Daphnia pulex: one gene and its partner. The protein of the gene in region 1 purifies or fractionates together with the protein of each later gene. This does not show direct contact. Links are inferred from orthologs where the notes say so. Each region holds a gene or a part of one and is shown on either strand. Other genes may lie near its edges. The genes, in order: proteasome assembly chaperone 3-like and proteasome assembly chaperone 2-like.

The links.
Region 2: the proteins of proteasome assembly chaperone 3-like (region 1) and proteasome assembly chaperone 2-like purify together in Homo sapiens (affinity purification with mass spectrometry; 4 studies listed by BioGRID and IntAct, counting the BioPlex papers as one, with this or other methods). This does not show direct contact. The link is inferred for Daphnia pulex from reciprocal best matches to the Homo sapiens genes PSMG3 and PSMG2.

What each region holds. Positions count from the first base shown.
Region 1 is NC_060019.1:10,650,050-10,652,614, reverse strand, and holds proteasome assembly chaperone 3-like, read right to left. Parts: upstream 1,123-2,565; coding exon 1,028-1,122; intron 965-1,027; coding exon 854-964; intron 792-853; coding exon 611-791; downstream 1-610. Other genes in the region: GPN-loop GTPase 2-like, read right to left, coding at 1-88, 149-354, 413-502, 561-600. UniProt on the Homo sapiens protein: Chaperone protein which promotes assembly of the 20S proteasome. May cooperate with PSMG1-PSMG2 heterodimers to orchestrate the correct assembly of proteasomes.
Region 2 is NC_060026.1:15,321,168-15,325,491, forward strand, and holds proteasome assembly chaperone 2-like, read left to right. Parts: upstream 1-1,506; 5' UTR 1,507-1,599; coding exon 1,600-1,665; intron 1,666-2,485; coding exon 2,486-2,651; intron 2,652-2,711; coding exon 2,712-2,770; intron 2,771-2,837; coding exon 2,838-3,016; intron 3,017-3,081; coding exon 3,082-3,192; intron 3,193-3,259; coding exon 3,260-3,458; 3' UTR 3,459-3,519; downstream 3,520-4,324. UniProt on the Homo sapiens protein: Chaperone protein which promotes assembly of the 20S proteasome as part of a heterodimer with PSMG1.

The DNA of each region.
Region 1 (2,565 bases):
TCAGTTGAACACAGCATAAACGAAAACCAAATGCTTCTAACTGTTTCATAATGTTTTTTACAGAATTGTTGTGGGTATAGAGCTCAACCTACACAAAAAAGATTATTACAACTTTTCTAGAAAACAGTATCACCTGTATTCAATATACCTGTCCCGGTAGATCGAAGATGAAGTAATGATCTTTGAATTTCTCTATTTCCACAAAGAGCCAGTCCAAATTCTTTTCGAGGAATTCCATACAATAGACCAAGGCGCCGTTCGGACCCAAATTGTAATTTTCCATTACATCTTGGACAGTAATCAATTTTGATACATCAATGGAAGAGGTAAACGGTAATAAATCATTCCCAGGATCTAATCACAATCATATTAGAGATTTTGATTGGAAAAGTATAATAACATTTTAAAATACCTAAATTAACTAGAGCTACTTTACGATTCTGGGATCGAAGGAAATCCGCCATTGCATGACAATAAGTGGACTTGCCGCTACCGGGAGGACCTTATAACATTACACGGTAAAAATGTGTAGCAAATTTACGAACGTAATTTCTACATACCGATAACGGCTTGGCCGAAGATGGTTTTTCTTACAGACATGTTGGAAAATTTATGCAGATTTTTCGGTGAGGGAAAGGTTGATCTTTAGGAATTCGCCAACTTGACGAAGAGTTTTCGGCTGATAGTCTTTAAGTGACAAGGCAAATAAAATGTTTTGCTGTGTTGGAATAAAGTTCACCAAGAAACGTGCAGCAACGTGAATTTCCTCGTCGTCTCGACCGAATAAGACTCTACAAAATTGCAATGAAAGTTAAAAAAACGAAACGAAATTGAGACGACATACAAGAATTACCGAACGCTGTAAACTGCACTGGAAGAATCGTCTTTCTGAGCAACGTCCCGACGGACTTCAACCACGTTTCCCACCTTGCCGTATTGAGTAAGTATGATAAATAACTTGTCGCTAAAAAGGACAATGAATTAAAGTGTAAGTAATGCAAGCAATGAACTAAAGAATTATTCCAACCTGAACTTTGAAATGACAACTTCTGTTGAATTCCCGTTAATCTCGATAGTTTCTGTTTTAGTCTGGACGGGAAATCTTCCCGCTACACCTTCCATATCAAACGATATCCAACCTGAAAGATATAAAAATGGTTCGTAAAAATTAGTGGTCGTATAACAGAATGGAAAGCAATAAAATGGTAATTGACGTCAACTAATTATGATGTGATAAATGCATTTTTTTTTAAATTTTATCCAATTTATTGATCACAATAATCAAAAATTTTTTAAAACTCTAGAAACCATTCTCCTCTTGTAAAAACGTTGATACTCTTCAGGCAGCATGGACAGGTGTTTCAGAGCAGATTCAACCATCTCCAACGCCTGCAGTTTGAAAGTTGAGATAGAAAAATAACCGAGGCCCTGAAGCTTTGACAGTGCCTTACTTTTGAGGCCGGTAGCGGATCTTTGTTGCCGTAAGGGTCTTTTTTATCGTACACCTCTGGACTCAAGTTTCGCCAGAAAACGTTGACTGCTACGGAGAACTCGAGTGATGTCATATTATGAAACCACAGAGCCGGGATGAAAAGAACGTCTCCGGGCTCCATGATACATTCGTGAGATGTTACTTTGGCGAACTCCGGAAAGTGTTCCAGATCAGGAAAATCAATGTCGATAACCCGAGATTTGTCGCCTTCCAAATAGAGATACGGAAGGTCTTCTGGCGAATAGAGAACGGCTCGTTTTTTGCCAGTGACTTGGACAAGAAGATTGTCCATCACATCGTAATGTGTCCACAACTGAACTCCTTCAGAAGCCACCCTGAGGACACTTGAAAAAATAGTGCTTGGTTCCAAAAACTTGGGAACTTGAAAATCTTGGCAAAGTTCAGGATAATGAGAATCAAGATTGGCAACCTCTCTTCCCCTTGAATCAGTTCCAAGTGCCCTTAAATAGTAAACTTCACTGTTTGTTAGAAAAAAGTTTTCGTGCTCATTTTCAGAAGACCTTTTGATTACTTGATCAAACGGCAGTGTTTTATAATGAAAGTTTTTGGTTAGGAAATTCATTTGCCCTGTTTCAGATACATGAATCTTCACTGGCTTATTCCCAACATTTTGCGAAAGATATTCAGCTGTCCACTTTCCTAGACAACTTCCAATGTCTAATCCTCTGAGTATGACAGGACTTCGTTTGGGATGGATCTCATCAAAAAATTGTTCCATTAGGATATTGTTATAGACGGGAACTGGGCTGACTTTTCTTTCAGTCATTTTAAAATTTACTCTACTAACGAAAGATGATCACGTGTAAAAACTTGCTTTGGCTATAACAATTGAATGTTACCTGCAAGGCGAAATGATAAAACTAATAACTATCGATAGACCGGTTCAATATACAGTTAAATTAACAGCAATGCACTTACCAAAAGCAGAGAATTAACTTCAACGGTATTGTTGTTTCGAATCAACTTTCAAGAGGAAAAATTTGAAGGAAAAATATGTTACAGCGACTGCAGACGGACTAAAACGAATAAACAACGTTGCAATTTGATCTAGA
Region 2 (4,324 bases), on another chromosome or scaffold:
AGTTGTTGATTTTCTTCTCAAACAAATTCACTTTTTTACACACGTAATTTTGTTTTGGTGATTTTTGTTTTTCTCTACCTCCCAGCCATCGTATTAGATATAGTGGGAAGAAAAGTGATGATTTTAACGGACAGTCTCTTCTTCAAACTGTCGGGAAAATTTTTCATCGGTTAAAAAAATTTTAAAAAGTGTTCCGTCATGCGGATCATTCCGCGCGGATGAGGAAATATATATCTATGATCTGTACACAACATCCAACGGTTATTTCCGTCGGTATTTTTTTTTTTCGCGACTCGGATTAGCCAAGTTCAACCACCCGAGATGGAGGAGGAGGGCATCACAGTAATGTTGTTGTTGTTGCGGACATCTTAAGAGCACAATGAGACGATAGGAATTGGACGCCAAAGAAGTAGGACGACACGGAAACTGGAGTTGGTTGAAGAGAAGATTTACCTGCTGCTGTGCTGCTGGGAGGTTTTAAAAACGTAACAACAGTCATTCACGTGTACACATAGGCAGTGGGTAGTATATCTAACTGTCAGTTGCGAGGGGAGCCAAATGGGATGGATCAGCAGAGCACGTCGGATAACCGACATATTTCATCTTTTTGATGTTGTTGCACACGCCACGGTATATATAGGAAAAATGCCGGCCGGATAGCGGTCGGCAGATGAGCTCAGTATCGTACCTCATCACATTGCGGTGGAAGATTCACCTCATTATACACAAGCGCCGTACCCTACATATGGTTAGCCATAATATTATTATTAGCAGGGCTGCTGAGATGCAGCGAAATCTTTTTTGATTGATCGCTGAGCGCGCTGGTTGCTCACGAGATTATTTCGTCTTTTTTAAAATCAGCCCGCGCTCCGTTTCTCATCGTCGGTTGAATTTCACGTGAACCGCAAAGTCGTTGCAGCGCGGAGAAATTTGTTTTGGGGAATTTTTGCAAGTTTAGGCGCATAAAAATCTTTCACAAAATCATTTGAACTATTTTGCTTTGTCATTGGTAAATGGGACTGAAAAATAAAAAGAGAAAAACGGAAAATTCTTATCTCATTGTGTCGGGGGGTAATATTTCATTTTGTTTTTGAAGGGAGAATGAGAGAGAGGAACCCTAACCTACATGTTCTGTTTTTACCCAACAATACAATTGTGGGAGGAGGAGGAGGAGGGCAGAGACCGTGATGACATGACAGGTGGATTTCATTTTTAGTTTATTTTTTTATTTTTTTTCCAAATTTATTTCTTTTTTTTTATGACCACCCACCCACTTATTCCAAGGAGGGAGGAAAGTCGCTAGGAGAGAGAATTATGTTTGTTTAATTGCTGTAATTTTAGAAATTCCTTCTTCAACCGACTAGAAACTCGCTGAACCCGATCATTCAGTTATTCAGTTATACCCCATTCACGCAAATGTCGTATCAACAAGGCAACTACGGGAGAGATTAATTGAGTTATAAGCCACCTAGCGGTGGAAATTGAAACTGGGGTGACGTCGGTAAAAATACAGCAGACGCTTTTTGCAAAGATTCCGCCAGTCATTTGTGGCTTTCAAGTTTACCAAGTTTAACACGTTTGCAATCCGTGGTCAAGAAAATGTTTGTCTTTCTGAAGAATAAATCACTGGAATGGTCTTCACTTCAAGATTACACCTTCATATTGGTAATTTCGTGCAAGGTGGATTGATTAAAGGCAGATCTCGAACTCGGCCGAAAAATTCGAACAGGGGAATTGCGTATTGGAAAGACGAGTGATTCATGTCAAAGCAGTTACGACATTGACTTAAATTTTTAGTGGGTAAATTGCATTCAGGGAACAACAATGTTATTTTCTTAATCGATAGACTTGAATAACTGGAAAGAATTATTATTTTTGAAGTAAAAATCGAGTTTGAAAAAAGGAGCCACCTGGCGGCCATTATTAGAATTGTGATAAGAGAACTGTCAAAAGTACAACTTAACTCAATTTCACTAAATGCGTAAAGTAAACTAAAATTTCCGCATACAAACTTGCTAGTCAAACGTAGTGAATGATTCGTGAAAAATTATTCCTTTCAAACCCGTCACCCAAATGACATGCTCCAAAAGTGCTAGTCTCTCAGCTGGGTATGTGGCGCGTACCTGTAATCCTGCTTCTGGGAGGCTTGGTGTAGTGGATGGCTTGAGGCTGGGAGTCCTGCTGGATCGTCGCTTGCGTTGAACAGGTGTCCGCACTAAGCTTGGCATCAACATGGATCGGTTGGAGTAATCCGGCAGATCCAGGTTATCTAAGGAGGAGCGAATCGGGCCAGGAGGGAAACCGAGCAGCCAAAAGTTCCCGTGTCGGGCAGTAGTGGGATCGCGCCCGTGAGTAGGCGCCTTTCAGTAGCCCAGCCAATAAAGTCACACCTACATCTTTTTTCGTCTTTTTTCTAATTGAATTTCATAGTTTGAGTATTTTTTGGATTTTATTGCATCATTAAATTGGTTTTCTGATTTTTCAGCCGGCCGTTTCAGTCGGCAACATCGGCCAGCTCTCGGTGGACTTGCTCATCAGCTCCCTGCACTGTGACAAGCTAGCCAAATTGGATCACCCCGTATTCGTACCCGTAGTTGGCAGTGATCCTTATGATGAAATACGGGAACAAGGCCTCATGACAGCAGCAGAATGTAATTTAATTGATATTAAATTTTTGACTGAATGGCATCTAATTTTCGCTAAAATTTCAGTATACATCAGCAAAGAAAAGAAACTGGTTATTCTACAGATTCGTGGTCTTTTGATTAAGGTAACTCATTGAAATTATTATTAATGTAAAGGTTTTAACCAGCTAATTCATTTATTACTCCCAAAAGGAATTTTGTGCCGATTTCTTGTCCCAGTTAGTGGACTGGATCAAGAAATGCGCTTTTGTCAAGACTATTCTGCTGTCCAGCCTCCACAACTACGAACGAGTTGATTCCCAACTCACCGGATCTCCATTCCGCTACACTGTGACTTCAGCTGTCAACTCGTCTATTGAAAACGAATTAAAGTAAATTGCGGAGAGATAAAATCAAGATCAATAATTGTATTCTAAAAGTATTGATTGAACTATAGGACTCTGCAGTGGCCTGCCCTGGAGACCCGACGTTCGGTTTGGAAGGAAGGCAATGAAGATATCCTTTTCTTCCCCGGTGGAGGATATACTAGTCTTCTGAATAAATTATGGTAGACGTGTTTATTCAATCCGTTTCGATTACGTTTTATAACTGAAGTTTTCCCTTTTATTCTGCAGTGGCGAAATGAATGTCCCTCTGGTAACTCTTCTTATATTTTGCGCCGAGGGTGACAATATACCGGGAGTTTTGCTGGTGACGGGTCATTTCAACCGGTGGCTAAACTTCGTACCAATGGCCAATGATGCCCCGGGCTGGAAATTCCCAGCGTCTTGGAAATTATTCTTTGGTGCACCAGCTCCCATGACCATGTATTGATTGATCAAAAAAAAATAATGATTGGCAAAGGAAAAGATAATAAAATCGAGTGATTGGTGAATTTCAATTAATTTAATCTTTTGGTTATTCGACGTGCTTGTTATGGAGCTGTTAGTCCAACCCCCAGGTCTCGTAACTGTCAGTTATACGTTAATAATAATAAAAAAAGGTACAGAGAAAGTGTTATGGAATTGCGATGCGGACGTTGGTTGGTGGGCGATTGCGTCATTGACTTATTGTGATGATCTTTTCCTTCAATTCTGCAGAAAGGAAAGAACGGCTGTTAAAGATAAGACATACGAGTTTCACGACTAGTTTGAGATTATAGCCTGTACCTTTAGAACGGACAAAAATCTTATAATTCAAACATGCATTTAGATTCCATTCATACTGCCGTGCAGAAATAAATATTATGTTATTGTGCCATTTACTTAAATATGAAAGGTCGCAAATGTATAGAACATAGGTTAAAAACCTGCGGAAGCCAATCGGACGAGGCGGAATCCGGCGGAACCGCGGAATCGATATCGGCCAAATAAGTCTCAGAATTTTTTTGCGCCAATAATTGATTTAAAGCTTGTCATGTGATAGAGTTCGAGTTTCATTTACTGATGGCAATCAACCAATCAGCGGTAAATTATATTTTAACAAATTTTTATTAAAAAATTAAATGTAATTTAAGCAAGATTTTGAAAATTTGCCACCGCTGTAAATGATATGGGGTTGGGGTGGGATTGTGGGAAGGGTAGAAATAGAATTTTCTTCTGCTCAGAAAATTTTTTTATGATCCATTCTCACTCTCACTGCCTTCTGCCTTGGTAAGTAGTTTATTTGGTCAAATTTAAATTTATGTTCAAAAATATTTC